Linked DNA regions of Saccharomyces cerevisiae S288C. The protein of the gene in region 3 purifies or fractionates together with the protein of the main gene of each other region. This does not show direct contact. Each region holds a gene or a part of one and is shown on either strand. Other genes may lie near its edges.

The links. The genes of interacting proteins can lie anywhere in the genome.
Region 1: the proteins of SNU71 (region 3) and SNU56 purify together in Saccharomyces cerevisiae (affinity purification with mass spectrometry; 8 studies listed by BioGRID). This does not show direct contact.
Region 2: the proteins of SNU71 (region 3) and YHC1 purify together in Saccharomyces cerevisiae (affinity purification with mass spectrometry; 7 studies listed by BioGRID). This does not show direct contact.

What each region holds. Positions count from the first base shown.
Region 1 is NC_001136.10:942,482-946,883, reverse strand, and holds SNU56 (Snu56p), read left to right. Parts: upstream 1-1,731; coding exon 1,732-3,210; downstream 3,211-4,402. Other genes in the region: AMD2 (putative amidase), read right to left, coding at 1-77; YDR239C (uncharacterized protein), read left to right, coding at 3,464-4,402. UniProt on the Saccharomyces cerevisiae protein: Component of the U1 snRNP particle, which recognizes and binds the 5'-splice site of pre-mRNA. Together with other non-snRNP factors, U1 snRNP forms the spliceosomal commitment complex, that targets pre-mRNA to the splicing pathway.
Region 2 is NC_001144.5:723,529-727,118, reverse strand, and holds YHC1 (Yhc1p), read left to right. Parts: upstream 1-1,702; coding exon 1,703-2,398; downstream 2,399-3,590. Other genes in the region: ECM38 (gamma-glutamyltransferase), read right to left, coding at 1-1,050; YLR297W (uncharacterized protein), read right to left, coding at 2,686-3,075. UniProt on the Saccharomyces cerevisiae protein: Component of the spliceosomal U1 snRNP, which is essential for recognition of the pre-mRNA 5' splice-site and the subsequent assembly of the spliceosome.
Region 3 is NC_001139.9:512,644-520,214, forward strand, and holds SNU71 (Snu71p), read left to right. Parts: upstream 1-1,910; coding exon 1,911-3,773; downstream 3,774-7,571. Other genes in the region: nicotinamide-nucleotide adenylyltransferase NMA2, read left to right, coding at 1-89; MCY1 (putative cysteine synthase), read left to right, coding at 516-1,697; MSB2 (Msb2p), read left to right, coding at 4,300-7,571. UniProt on the Saccharomyces cerevisiae protein: Component of the U1 snRNP particle, which recognizes and binds the 5'-splice site of pre-mRNA. Together with other non-snRNP factors, U1 snRNP forms the spliceosomal commitment complex, that targets pre-mRNA to the splicing pathway.

The DNA.
Region 1 (4,402 bases), on a different chromosome or scaffold from region 3:
CATTCGTCTTTTATCTTACTGTTCAGTTGATCTTTTTTTAATTGAACTTTTTCCTTCCACGTTGAGTGCACAGTCATTGTATAACTTTGGTACCGTGTTGTCTGTCGTTAATAACAGGTCAGAGCGGCTGTCCCTTCCACTCCCCATTGAAAAAAAAGTATTTACTCGACTATATATATGTAATACGCTTTTGAATACTAAAATAATGTTATCAGTAATCTTATCTATTATTATCATATTATCATATTATTAGCTATTATTATATCATGAGCAATTCGCGCGCGCGGCATTTGAGATAGCAAACTTAATCCGTCACACAGATAATACTACAAATTATGACACATAATACTCCCGGTACTCAATAATATCTCATTGTTCGGTCACGAATGTGTCATTGACTATCCAATAGAGAATCAAATACAACGACTACTGGGAACTTATCTCCAGAAAGCCGGCTAAAAGTAGGTGCTTGACATAAAAAAATCTCCCGGGGGCGAGTCGAACGCCCGATCTCAAGATTTCGTAGTGATAAATTACAGTCTTGCGCCTTAAACCAACTTGGCTACCGAGAGTCGATTTCTTGCGAGGTGTTGTATCTCAAAATGAGATACGTCAGTATGACAATACGTCATCCTAAACGTTCATAAAACACATATGAAACAACCTTATAACAAAACGAACAACATGAGACAAAACCCGTCCTTCCCTAGCTGAACTACCCAAAAGTATAAATGCCTGAACAATTAGTTTAGATCCGAGATTCCGCGCTTCCACCACTTAGTATGATTCATATTTTATATAATATATAAGATAAGTAACATTCCGTGAATTAATCTGATAAACTGTTTTGACAACTGGTTACTTCCCTAAGACTGTTTATATTAGGATTGTCAAAACACTCCGGTATTACTCGAGCCCGTAATACAACACGAGGGCTTGAAATATGTTTCTTATAATTAATATCAAACTTGTTTGGAGGTTCCTATGACAGCGCCTCATAACTCGTGTCATCTTTGTACTTGTTAGAGATTGTTGGGACAGATGAACATTAACTTTTCATAAGATATTACAATAGCAATATAAATACTTAAATGGTATACTATAGTTCTAATGGAATTCTAGCATCATCTATTTAGTAGTATTTATATTATTAGTATATTATCGCATACGGTATAAGAAGATGTAGTTTACTTGCTTCAAACCAGTGACCTGAGAAAGGGGTGAATAATTTGATGATTGTTGGGATTCAATCCTTGGTAAAGGTATAATATTATGAATGAATAATGTACTAGAAGCTCTCCCCGAGATATAAGAACCCGCAAAAGAGGATCGGTATTCTTACGTAATAATATTATAATCTCATCTTCCATTTTTTATGTGACATTATCCTATTACATCATGAGTTGTTGCATTTCCTCTTCCATTTGATGACTGTCTTTCAATCTTTATGTCATCTTCTTACACCGCATTTGATAATATACTACTAACACGAATGCTAATAAACAGATGATATTTTGGATTTTTACTCCAACATGATCTTTAATTACTTCTTCATATTTCTTATTCTCATGATTGCTACTGGTTTGTTGTAACCTTTTTTTTATTTGAGCTAGAATTTTCAGCGCGCATCGCAGTGTAGAAAACATTAAAGTTATATTATATACTATAGTAGAAGTTTGACGTTGAGAAACAGTTTCCCTTCGACTAATATAAGCAAAAAATATTAGTATCATGCGCCCAAGAAGGAGAGGATTAGCGTATCATCATACCAAGCCGAAGGGACAACTTTCACAAGGACATTATCCTACGACATCCAATGATGGCCAAAGAAGGAAGGTCGGTAATTCTGAAGCATTCCAATCTTTTGATATATGGAAAAACCTAGATAGGATAAGGTCGACTAAGAAGAATGCAGGGCAATTCATAAAAGGTAGTCTGCTCATACTCCCCATGAGAACGGAAGATAAACAACAGTTCGACGAGTGCATGGATGAATTGCATAAGTATATATCGAAGGATATATTACGATGTTATCCACAGAAAGAGCAGAAAGATGAAGGCATGCTTTTCTACATAGTTTTGAAGGACTTCAATATATTGGACTCTTGCTTCGTATTATCAGTTCTGCTTGCTTTCCAGAAGCGATTATGGATGGCACCATCCGAAAAATCATACTTTAGAGTTCCTAAGAATATTAACTTGACAGGTTCGTTTTATTTGCCCAAGAATATAGAAACTGGTAGAGGCCATATAATAACAAGCTATAGAAGAGAGCAGCCCTCATCCAGTATTGTAGAAGTTGGTTTCAATGTTGTTCCAGATTTTCAACAGTTTCAAGTTAAGGCTTGTCATGTAAGTAAGTTCATGAATGAGCTTTCTAATTTTTTTTCACAAGTAGAATTTGGCAAGTGTGAAGCTAACGTGATAAACTACTTTAAGCGTGAATATAACCGCACTTATTCACAGATATCACTTGCCCTCTACGAACTTCCATTAATTGGCGATGGCTTGTTTGATATAAAGTCGTACATTAGTAAAACCAGGCCAATTATAGAAACATCAAAAGCTCAAATGATTAAACATATTTCTGAAATGAAGGCATATAACGAAATAAGTGGCCTTCAAGGAGATCAATTTCCACGACAACAAAGACCTTTATCGAATTCGCCCTCTTCAAATTCAATTTCCTCTTCTCAAACTATTGAAGCAGGTGCAACTTCATATCAAACACAACCACAGAGACACGCTGTTAATAAGCCATCAAATGTATTGAATTCTTCCAATCGTCATTCCGGGCCAAAAACTTTTGAGGACGGAAGGTATAGTGAAGGTAATAAACCGGGTTTTATGACGCAGGATGAAATCAAACAACATTGCATTGGTACCATAAAAGCTTCTATGGATGCAGTGAAAAAGAAGTCTTCGTATCAGATTCTAAAGACATACGTTAGGTGTCCAAGACAAAATTATATTGATATTGTTTATCAAAATCTAAATGATCTACGATCAAAGACAAATTGTAATATCGTCGTATTGAATCTGAATAATCTTCACGAGTCACAAATGTGGCTTGAATCTTTAAATACAACAAATTACACTATTTTTGCTCAGGCGCCTCACCCAAGTACCATCCGCGTTATTAGTATTGGTGGAGTCGGTGAATATATAGTCAAAGCATTAGAGCTGATATTGAATATATTAGAACATTGAGTCGCATATAACAGTGGAGGTGTATAGATATATTTAAAAAACCTTTTGGTTATTTTTTCTCTTTCATGGCATTTGCTCCGTATGCAAAGCGATAGTTTAATTTAATGTTTTCTTTCAAATGTCATCGCGGATTCAAAGAGCGCACTATTATTATTTGGCAAAAGTTTAAGAGGGAAAATGTTGAAATAGCATGTTCTGCAAAGCGAATTACAGGTTTTGAAGGAGTCTACAGGTAAAGTCTAATAATACAGTGATGTTTGATGGCTTTAGCAACAATAAAGGTAAACGAAGGTCTTTTTTTCGGTTTGGTTCTGAAAGTAAAAACAATGACTCTGAAAAATCCGTTAGAAAGCCATCGGTGCCCTCTACAATAAAGAAATCAACAAATATCGCACGAACTTCGACGGCTGAAACTTCTGCCCCTGATATACCGCCAAGAAGTCCAAATAGGAATGCTCATAGCAGGAGCCATTCTATCCAGGCACCATTACAAAAGGAAACATTAAAGAATACTAATCCATTTTTGAATGCTGAGGATACCTTAGGAGATTCTCTTGAATTAACACAGTCCAAGGAAGCGTCAGGAAACGATCACAAAGGAATTGAATATTTACAAGAAAACAACATCATTGGGCAGAGAACCAACCCCTTCACAACAAGCGCAAATTCAAATGCACATTTCTCCAAGATAAAACGTTCGAGGCCTCCACCACCGCCTATGGACATGAAGTCAATAACAACGTCAATAAGCAACAATACTACTAAGGAAGAAATAGAGAGTAATAATGATTCTGAGCGGGATAGTATTGCAATCTCATCCACCCACAATCAACATAGGCGGCAGCGTTCAGAAGCAGAAAAGTTGGTAGATGATATTGAAAATTACATTAATGAACACAAGGTAAGTTCCGGTAGCTCACTATCCCTAGACACGTCTGAAAACTCAGATACTAAAGCATCGCAAGATAAGTTGCCAGTAGATGTCATGGAAGCTCCCATTTTGAGAAATGTCAGCGCGGAGAGTTCCTTAAGCTACGTAAAACCACTTATTGTGGATAATGAAGAAGTAAATAAAGCAAGTAACGGAAATTTAGTACAATCAGATCATCTAAAAGAATTTTCTTCGAATCTGGATGATGGGGATGATAAATTTTCCTTTAGTACATCGGCTAGTGGTAAATCCACCAAAAGC
Region 2 (3,590 bases), on a different chromosome or scaffold from region 3:
GGCGCCCTTCCTAATTTTCATGGACAGTGGTTTAGTAACATGAACATCATACGATGAAACATCCTGCAAGTTCATTATTCCATTGTATTTTGCGACAGTATCAATCATGGATTTTGCAATCCAGTGATCGGGGTCATAAAATGGGGCCACGGAACCATTTTTAGCCAGTTCCATTAGCATGTTAGATAGTGCCGGCCTCTTGATCCAATCGCCTTCTTTCAAAACACCGTCATGGGTAGAATTCAATACAAACGACCAATCTTCCTTCAATGTCAGGAAAACATCCTCATAAAGTTCTAAAGTGGCACCGAGTGCTTCGCCTATTTGCCAACCCACGCTTCCCAGCTTTGCGACTGGTTCAATTAGATCACGCCAATCAACTTGGCCGCTACCTCTTTCTTTAAAGAGGCGATAGAGACCCATCAATTCACCTGGAACACCGACAGCAAGACCCCCTATTTTTGAGCATAGAGAGCAGTTTTCGAACATGAACTTATGTGAATCCATGGGTGCTTTTTCTCTAAAATCAATGGATAGATGATCTTCATCGTCTTTGCCAGAAAAAACTACGTAGCCACCACCTCCAATCCCACTATTAAAAAAATTCACCATACCCTTACAAAGAGCTTGTGTTACTGCAGCGTCTGCAGCGTTAGAACCGGGAAATTTCAGGAGTACCTCATTTATAGTCAAATTACTACAGACTTCTAAATCTGAACTTATAGCACCATGCAAACCGACTTTTAGAAGTTGCCTATCAGGCGTTAAACTAGGACGGCGAGGTAAAGGGTCAATATCGATGTTATGGTGATCCTTATCGCCGCCATCATCATCGTCGTCTTTTTTCAAATATTCTGCAATAATGTCAACATCTCGATTGGCAGACCCTCGAAGGAGATTATTTATTCTCTGCAAAGTCTCCTGAGAGGCGAATGATACCATTTTTGACGGCATTCCGGACACTAACACACCCAGTGTTAACAGAGTGAATATATGCAGTATAAAACAGGTATTTAAAGTCTTGGGGACTTTTCTATTACACAACAGCATAACTGTAAGTCTAGTACGCTACTTTTTGTCTTGTCTTTTTGTGTGCCTGACAACGCCCCACTTGAATCTGCGTTAGCTTTTTATTCTATTATTTAAGATAACTGTGCAACAGGAAGTCACGATCGAACTTTACGGAAGAATTATAATATTGAGAAGTGCTAGTACACACAGGCGCACACACACATATATATATGTATCTATATACGTGTATGTAGATTTGGAAGTCGAATAGATAAATGCCGTTATGTTCCCTCAGAGAAAATTGATAAGCGGGCAAAAGGCGGCACTAAGACGTTCGAAGGGGCGGATCTTTTCTTTTGATCAACAACAGGCACAGCCGCTGAGTAATATAGTTATGATTTTTCTAATCTCATGTAGGTAATAAAATCTTAAAAGTTATTTTTATTTTCACTCTTTTATATGTGAATAGAGACACTTGTATAGAGATAATAAACGGTTCAAACTCTTTTCACTTTCATATGTTCCACACAGTACCTTATCATTGAACACTAGATTTCCGCAAGTGTCAAGGTACATAGGCGGGTAAGCGTTAAGGATAACAGAAAATATTCTTGCTATACTGAAGATATAATATGAGCTCCTAGTGTAGGCGATGAAGGTGCTCAAGTAACGGAGAGGAAAGAGATAGGCAATGACGAGATACTATTGTGAATACTGTCATTCGTATTTGACCCATGACACGTTGAGCGTTCGTAAATCGCACTTGGTCGGTAAGAATCACCTTCGTATAACAGCTGACTATTATAGGAACAAAGCAAGAGACATTATTAATAAACATAATCATAAAAGACGCCACATTGGAAAAAGAGGCAGGAAAGAAAGAGAAAACAGTAGTCAAAATGAGACGCTAAAAGTTACATGCCTTTCAAATAAGGAGAAAAGACACATCATGCATGTGAAGAAAATGAACCAAAAAGAACTGGCACAAACCTCAATAGATACCTTGAAATTGTTATACGATGGCTCACCAGGATATTCCAAAGTATTTGTGGATGCTAACAGGTTTGATATAGGAGATTTGGTTAAAGCCAGCAAATTACCCCAAAGAGCCAATGAAAAATCTGCACACCATTCCTTCAAGCAAACTTCAAGATCCAGAGATGAGACGTGCGAGAGCAATCCATTTCCTAGGTTGAATAACCCAAAGAAGCTAGAACCCCCAAAGATATTATCACAATGGAGTAACACCATTCCAAAAACTTCTATATTTTACAGTGTAGATATACTGCAAACCACGATCAAGGAGTCCAAGAAGCGGATGCATTCCGACGGCATACGGAAACCGTCGAGTGCCAACGGATATAAAAGGAGGCGGTATGGAAATTAACGCTATCAGATTAGATTATTAAATATTATATGTAGACTATATTTTGCCAAAAAAAACAATAGAGATATCAACAACGAATGAAAATGGTATGATGAGAATAAAAAAAAAGGAAATAAAAAAAGGAAAATTAAAAAATTGAGATTAGTTGAATTGAAAAAGGAAAAAAAATGTTTGGTATGCGATAATTAATTGAATGTGCACGATCGTTACTATCATGAGAATTAAAATTTAAAATGTCCAACTTTCGGGCGTGAAGAGCGGTGCCATCTATTATATCTATTTTTATTTCATGCTTTTTCAGCAAGTGCTTGCTTTTCTTCATCGTTGGACTGTAGTTTCTTATCATTACTGCTGCCTGAACGGAGAGATATGAATATCATGCCAATCAACCCAAGTAGTAAAACTCCAACCACTACAATAATAAAAGATATTATGAAAACAGCGAGTATGTTTTCCAGTGGTTCATTATCGAGGTTAAAATTTGAGAGATCCGGGGTCCCAGAAACGAGTGTGTGCACATCTCCGCTTGCTTTCTCATCCGAATTTAAAATCTTTGTCAATAATTTAAAGATCTCATCCCCTATGCTATTCTTGACGCTATGATGATCACCACACATGGATTTGGAGCTTAGTAAGGCAATGTTCGATTGCTCATCGACAAAATCACCTTCGACCATTTTCTGTTTTTATATTTTTATCGTACGTAGTCTATAATGCAAAAAGAATAATTTGTTACTTGTGAGAGAGAAAGCGTACGTGTGCGATTGTGAGAATATGTAGATTATTACCACGATAGAGCAAAGAAGAAGGCTCTCCAAAAAGAATTAGTTATCTCACACTACCAACCGAAAGACTTCCTTAATATATATAAATTTAACACGGTCCTTATACGATTTCTCTTTTATATATTACTACTCTCAGGTATTTATTACTTGGTAACCAATTAGTAATACAGAAGGGAACTACGGAGTTTCTCTACAGACTTAACCCTTTTTTCCTTCTCCCAAAAAAATTTCCTTTTTTTTTCCTTTTTGTTTTTGTTTCTGATCTCGCAAAACTCATCTCTTTACTCTTTTCTGTTAAATCGGCCATTCTTGAATGGACGGGTATCTTTTTAAGCCGCAATACGCGTGCGCACTTTTCACTGGTTTCTCCAGACAGCCCCAAAAGAAAGCGCGCGGTGTTCTATTGT
Region 3 (7,571 bases):
CAAACTCTGTCATCCGTTACATCCAAGAGTATAATCTATACATTAATCAAAGTGAACCGGTCAAGCAGGTCTTGGATAGCAAAGAGTGAGTTTATTACAACTCTGATACTGCAGCAGTTCAAATTTACCACTTTCCTCTTCAAGGTGCATAGAAAAAAAGTTCCTGGATGCACGATTTAAAATGTTTACAGCAGAGCAACAATCATGTGAACAATGTCAAACATTTATTTTAACACTTAATAATTATAATATAACCACACCAGCGGTAAGTTTCATAAGGAAAACCTTTCAGACAAACATTCCAGTGAATCGTATACGTAAATCAGCAAAATTAGCTTATAAAATACAGAATCCGAAGATACTTGATCTACTCGCGTTACTATTAATGCGGGTAATGATCTATATTGAATTTTGCACGTCTATAGTAACTTAAAAGTCTTGTAATATTTGAAGTAACAATGCCGTATAATACTGCATAATAGCCCTATCAATCGGAATATACCAAAACATCCTTTATGTCCTGTTCTCAAAATAAGACTTCTGTCAGTCTGGCCTGGCGTGAATGCATATCCATCGCTTCCGTCCTAATTGGCGCGTATGCATCATACAAATACTATAAGCTGTTCAAAACACGCGATATTCCACGTCCAAAAGAAGGCGTTGAAGAACTCATAGGAAACACTCCTCTGGTTAAGATCAGATCTCTTACCAAGGCTACTGGAGTTAACATTTACGCTAAGTTGGAGTTATGCAACCCAGCAGGAAGTGCTAAGGATAGAGTGGCTTTAAACATCATAAAGACGGCTGAGGAATTAGGCGAGCTCGTCAGAGGTGAACCTGGCTGGGTATTTGAAGGAACAAGTGGGTCGACTGGTATCTCTATAGCAGTGGTCTGTAATGCGTTGGGTTATAGGGCACACATTTCTTTGCCCGATGACACATCGCTAGAAAAATTGGCATTACTAGAAAGCCTCGGTGCTACTGTTAATAAGGTTAAGCCCGCTAGTATTGTCGATCCAAACCAATACGTAAATGCCGCCAAAAAGGCATGTAATGAACTAAAGAAGAGTGGTAATGGAATAAGAGCAGTTTTTGCCGATCAGTTCGAAAACGAAGCCAACTGGAAAGTACATTACCAGACCACAGGCCCAGAAATTGCCCATCAAACTAAGGGAAATATTGACGCATTCATTGCTGGCTGCGGTACTGGTGGCACCATAACTGGTGTGGCAAAATTCTTAAAGGAAAGAGCAAAGATACCTTGCCATGTCGTTCTAGCGGATCCACAAGGATCTGGCTTTTATAATAGAGTCAACTATGGCGTGATGTATGACTATGTAGAGAAGGAAGGTACTAGAAGAAGGCATCAAGTTGACACTATCGTAGAAGGGATTGGGTTAAACAGAATCACTCATAATTTTCATATGGGCGAAAAGTTTATTGATGAATCAATACGAGTCAACGATAATCAAGCCATTAGAATGGCAAAATACCTATCGGTAAACGACGGGCTATTCGTGGGGAGTAGTACAGCTATTAATGCGGTAGCCGCTATTCAGGTTGCAAAAACGCTTCCTCACGGCTCAAACATTGTGATTATTGCATGCGACAGCGGTTCAAGACACCTAAGTAAATTCTGGAAAGAAGCTAAAGAAATCGATCACGACGTGTCATTAGAAGAAGTAATAAATATCTAACATAGATGTATAAATCAGTACTGAGTTATCTTCTATTAAATTGTAGGAACAAATATAAAAAAGCAGTTTTCGCTGCTACATTTTTTGCTACTTTCCGTGGTAATGATGCCCGCTAAAAAGTGCAAAAGTAATTAGATAGATCAAGAACAAAAACAGACCAGGACCAAAATCAAGCTCATAAAAGTTCCTTAAGAGTACGTCGATTTACAGAACATGAGGGATATTGTATTTGTATCACCGCAGCTGTATTTGTCATCACAGGAGGGTTGGAAAAGTGATTCTGCCAAAAGTGGGTTCATCCCTATCCTCAAAAATGATCTACAACGTTTTCAGGACTCATTAAAACATATAGTTGACGCCAGAAACAGCTTATCAGAGACACTGCTAAATAGCAACGATGATGGGAGTATACACAATTCTGACCAGAATACTGGTTTGAATAAAGACAAAGAGGCTTCAATAGCAGATAACAATAGTGCTAACAAGTGCGCCACAAGCTCTTCCCGTTACCAAGAGCTCAAACAATTTCTTCCCATTTCCTTAGACCAACAGATTCATACAGTATCTTTACAAGGTGTCTCTTCATCATTTTCTCGCGGACAGATAGAATCATTGCTAGACCACTGTTTGAATTTAGCGTTGACTGAAACTCAAAGCAATTCCGCATTGAAAGTAGAAGCTTGGTCTTCTTTTTCTTCGTTTTTAGATACCCAGGACATTTTTATAAGATTCAGTAAGGTTGATGAAGATGAGGCATTTGTTAATACGCTGAACTACTGCAAAGCCTTATTCGCGTTTATTAGAAAGCTACATGAGGATTTCAAGATTGAGTTACACTTGGATTTGAACACAAAAGAATATGTCGAAGACCGAACAGGAACTATACCGAGTGTTAAGCCAGAAAAGGCTAGCGAATTTTATTCTGTTTTCAAAAACATTGAAGATCAAACAGACGAAAGAAATTCAAAGAAAGAACAGTTGGATGACTCTTCCACACAATACAAAGTGGATACAAACACTTTAAGTGATTTGCCATCGGATGCTTTGGACCAATTGTGCAAGGATATAATAGAATTTAGGACAAAAGTTGTCAGTATAGAGAAAGAAAAAAAAATGAAAAGTACGTACGAGGAAAGTAGGCGTCAAAGACACCAAATGCAAAAAGTTTTTGATCAAATAAGGAAAAACCACTCAGGAGCCAAAGGGAGCGCCAATACAGAGGAGGAGGATACTAATATGGAAGATGAAGATGAGGAGGATGACACTGAAGACGACCTTGCCTTAGAGAAGAGAAAAGAAGAAAGAGACCTGGAAGAATCAAATCGTAGATATGAGGATATGTTACACCAATTACATTCCAATACAGAGCCTAAGATAAAATCCATTAGGGCTGATATCATGAGTGCTGAAAACTATGAGGAACATTTGGAGAAAAATCGCTCATTATATTTGAAGGAGCTATTACACCTTGCCAACGACGTTCATTACGACCACCATAGATCTTTCAAGGAGCAAGAGGAAAGAAGGGACGAAGAGGATAGAGCTAAAAATGGAAATGCAAAGGAACTGGCGCCTATACAACTATCGGATGGTAAGGCCATATCTGCAGGGAAGGCTGCCGCCATCACCCTTCCTGAAGGCACTGTGAAGAGCGAGAACTATAACGCGGACAAGAATGTGTCTGAGAGCTCAGAACACGTCAAGATCAAATTCGACTTTAAGAAGGCTATTGATCACTCAGTTGAAAGCTCTAGCGAAGACGAGGGATACAGAGAGAGCGAGCTACCTCCAACAAAACCCTCCGAGAGAAGCGCGGCAGAGGACCGTTTGCCATTTACAGCAGATGAACTGAACATAAGACTAACTAATCTGAAGGAATCGCGCTACGTGGACGAACTGGTGCGTGAATTCCTCGGCGTCTACGAGGACGAGCTGGTGGAATACATTCTTGAGAACATCCGCGTGAACCAGAGCAAACAGGCCCTTTTAAATGAGCTAAGGGAGACTTTCGACGAGGACGGGGAAACGATAGCTGATAGACTGTGGAGTCGTAAAGAATTTCGCTTGGGGACCTGAAACAGAAGGGCCTTGGCGCGCGTCCCAAAAGGGAAAGGCTCGCTCTGAAACAGGCGAAGACACGAAAACAAATTACCGTTTCGGGGCGTTTTGCAGCAAGTGGCTAGACACGTCGGGCGTTGCCAGATCAAAATAGCACCAGTGGGTGTTTTTTTACTATCTCATCTTCGTGCTGATATATATAACTTTTATACATTTCCATAGTACCAAGTTCTTTATTTCCTGCATTTTTACATTTATAATAGATTACCAAAACTATTCGACCTCACCAAGGGACCCCATAATATTGCTAAAATAATCTTACCTGTTTTTTACCATTTTTTTCTTTTTTTCCAGAAGTAATAAGCTCTCTCTTAGAAGAACTAAAAGCATCTGACTTCGGCTCGTTCCAACCGACCAAAATATTTGTGAAAATATTATTCATTCCTTTAACGACTTATTGTGTATTCTGTTCATCTCTAGCTGGCTTCCACCTCGTTTCCTATTTTTATTGACTTTTCATTAGGCTTCCTAATTATACCCATCTATGCAGTTTCCATTCGCTTGTCTCCTATCGACCCTTGTAATTAGTGGGTCATTGGCCCGGGCCAGCCCCTTCGACTTTATATTCGGCAATGGAACGCAACAAGCTCAGAGCCAAAGCGAGAGTCAAGGTCAAGTTTCTTTCACCAATGAAGCTTCTCAGGATAGTTCCACCACCTCTTTGGTAACAGCCTATTCTCAAGGTGTTCATTCGCACCAGTCTGCAACAATAGTGAGTGCCACAATCTCTTCCCTCCCATCTACTTGGTATGATGCGAGCTCCACTTCCCAGACTTCTGTGTCATATGCCAGTCAAGAATCCGACTATGCCGTTAATCAAAACTCTTGGAGCGCGTCTACTAATCAACTGCCATCTACCAGTACGACAAGCTACTATGCGCCAACCTTCAGTACATCGGCCGATTTTGCTGCTTCTAGTGTAAATGCAGCTTCTGATGTCTCCACTGCCAGTGTTCCCATTGATACGAGTGCTAATTCTATCCCTTTCACAACTACAAGTAACATAGAGACTACAACGAGTGCACCTCTCACTTCGGACACTCCACTTATTTCCACTAGTACGATGTCCGCAGCTGATAACGTATTTTCGTCAGCAAACCCTATTTCTGCCTCCCTAACAACCACCGATAGTTCAGAAAGTTTTGACCAAACTTCGACTGCTGGTGCCATTCCGGTGCAAAGTTCAGCAGATTTTAGTAGTTCTAGTGAAATTTTAGTACAAAGTTCGGCGGATTTCAGTAGCCCTAGTTCTCCAACTACTACCGATATATCGCTATCAGCTGCCCCACTGCAAACAAGTGAATCAAGCAGTTTTACCACTGCATCAGCAGCTCTACCAGTAAGTTCAACAGACGTTGATGGCTCAAGCGCCTCACCTGTAGTGAGCATGAGCGCCGCAGGACAAATAGCTAGCTCAAGCAGCACAGATAATCCAACTATGTCAGAAACCTTTTCGTTAACATCTACAGAAGTTGATGGTTCCGATGTTTCATCAACAGTGAGCGCATTATTATCGGCTCCTTTTTTACAAACAAGTACTTCCAACAGTTTCAGCATTGTTAGCCCATCGGTATCTTTTGTTCCATCACAGAGTTCCTCAGACGTTGCTAGCTCCAGTACTGCAAATGTAGTTAGTTCATCCTTTTCTGATATTCCACCGCAAACTAGTACCTCAGGGAGCGTAGTTTCGGTAGCGCAATCCGCATCTGCCCTCGCATTTCAAAGTTCAACAGAGGTATATGGTGCCAGTGCCTCGAGCACAATGAGTTCATTATTATCAACTACTTCGCTACAGTCTACTACTTTGGATAGCTCAAGTTTAGCTAGCTCCTCTGCGTCGAGTTCAGACCTTACAGATTATGGCGTCTCCAGTACAGCAAGCATACCGCTGTTGTCAGCCTCAGAACAAGCAAGTACTTCCAGCAGTTTTAGCGTTGTTAGCCCTTCGGTATCTTTTGTTCCATCACAAAGTTCCTCAGATGTTGCTAGCACCAGTGCTCCAAGTGTAGTTAGTTCATCCTTTTCTTATACTTCACTGCAAGCAGGTGGCTCTAGCATGACCAATCCCTCTTCATCAACTATAGTATATTCAAGTAGTACTGGCAGTTCTGAGGAATCCGCTGCATCTACAGCTTCTGCAACACTGTCGGGCTCCTCGTCTACTTATATGGCAGGAAATTTGCAATCACAGCCTCCATCCACTTCAAGTTTGCTTTCGGAGTCTCAAGCTACAAGCACTTCAGCTGTGCTAGCTAGCAGTTCTGTTTCTACAACTTCACCCTATACCACTGCAGGTGGTGCATCTACAGAGGCCTCATCCCTCATATCATCTACATCTGCGGAAACTTCCCAGGTAAGTTATTCACAAAGCACAACTGCATTGCAAACTTCCTCATTCGCATCGTCTTCAACAACAGAAGGAAGTGAAACATCTAGTCAAGGTTTTTCTACCAGCTCTGTTTTAGTTCAAATGCCTTCTTCGATTTCCAGCGAATTCTCACCCTCTCAGACGACAACTCAAATGAATTCTGCAAGCTCATCATCTCAGTACACTATATCATCCACTGGTATACTTTCTCAGGTTTCAGACACATCGGTGTCTTATACAACTTCAAGTTCGTCTGTTTCTCAAGTTTCAGACACACCAGTTTCTTATACAACTTCAAGTTCGTCTGTTTCTCAAGTTTCAGACACACCGGTTTCTTATACAACTTCAAGTTCGTCTGTTTCTCAAGTTTCAGACACACCAGTTTCTTATACAACTTCAAGTTCATCTGTTTCTCAAGTTTCAGACACACCGGTTTCTTATACAACTTCAAGTTCGTCCGTTTCTCAAGTTTCAGACACGTCAGTACCTTCTACAAGTTCCAGATCGTCCGTTTCTCAAGTCTCAGACACTCCGGTGCCTTCTACAAGTTCAAGGTCGTCCGTTTCTCAAACATCTAGCTCACTACAGCCCACCACTACATCCTCCCAACGTTTCACCATTTCCACTCATGGAGCGCTTTCTGAAAGTAGTTCTGTTAGCCAACAAGCTTCTGAGATTACTAGCTCAATCAATGCAACAGCTTCCGAATACCATAGCATCCAGACAACCGCGGCTACTCAATCCACAACTCTATCTTTTACCGACGCAAACAGCAGTTCTGCTTCCGCTCCATTGGAAGTGGCAACGTCTACGCCAACCCCATCTTCAAAGGCATCCTCTCTGTTGCTTACACCATCAACATCCTCTTTAAGTCAGGTTGCTACAAATACTAATGTACAGACGAGTTTAACAACGGAATCGACGACCGTTTTAGAACCATCAACGACTAACAGTTCCAGTACGTTTAGTCTGGTCACTTCAAGTGACAACAATTGGTGGATTCCAACTGAGTTAATCACGCAGGCACCAGAAGCTGCATCCACTGCATCTTCTACCGTTGGAGGAACACAAACTATGACTTTGCCCCATGCAATTGCAGCCGCGACACAAGTTCCCGAGCCTGAGGGCTACACCCTAATCACAATAGGGTTCAAAAAAGCTTTGAACTACGAATTTGTTGTATCAGAACCAAAATCATCGGCTCAAATCTTCGGATACTTGCCTGAAGCTCTGAACACACCTTTTAAGAACGTATTCACAAACATTACGGTACTACAAATAGTGCCATTACAGGATGACTCACTCAACTACTTAGTAAGTGTTGCTGAAGTATACTTTCCAACTGCAGAAATAGAGGAGCTGTCAAATCTAATTACCAACTCTTCAAG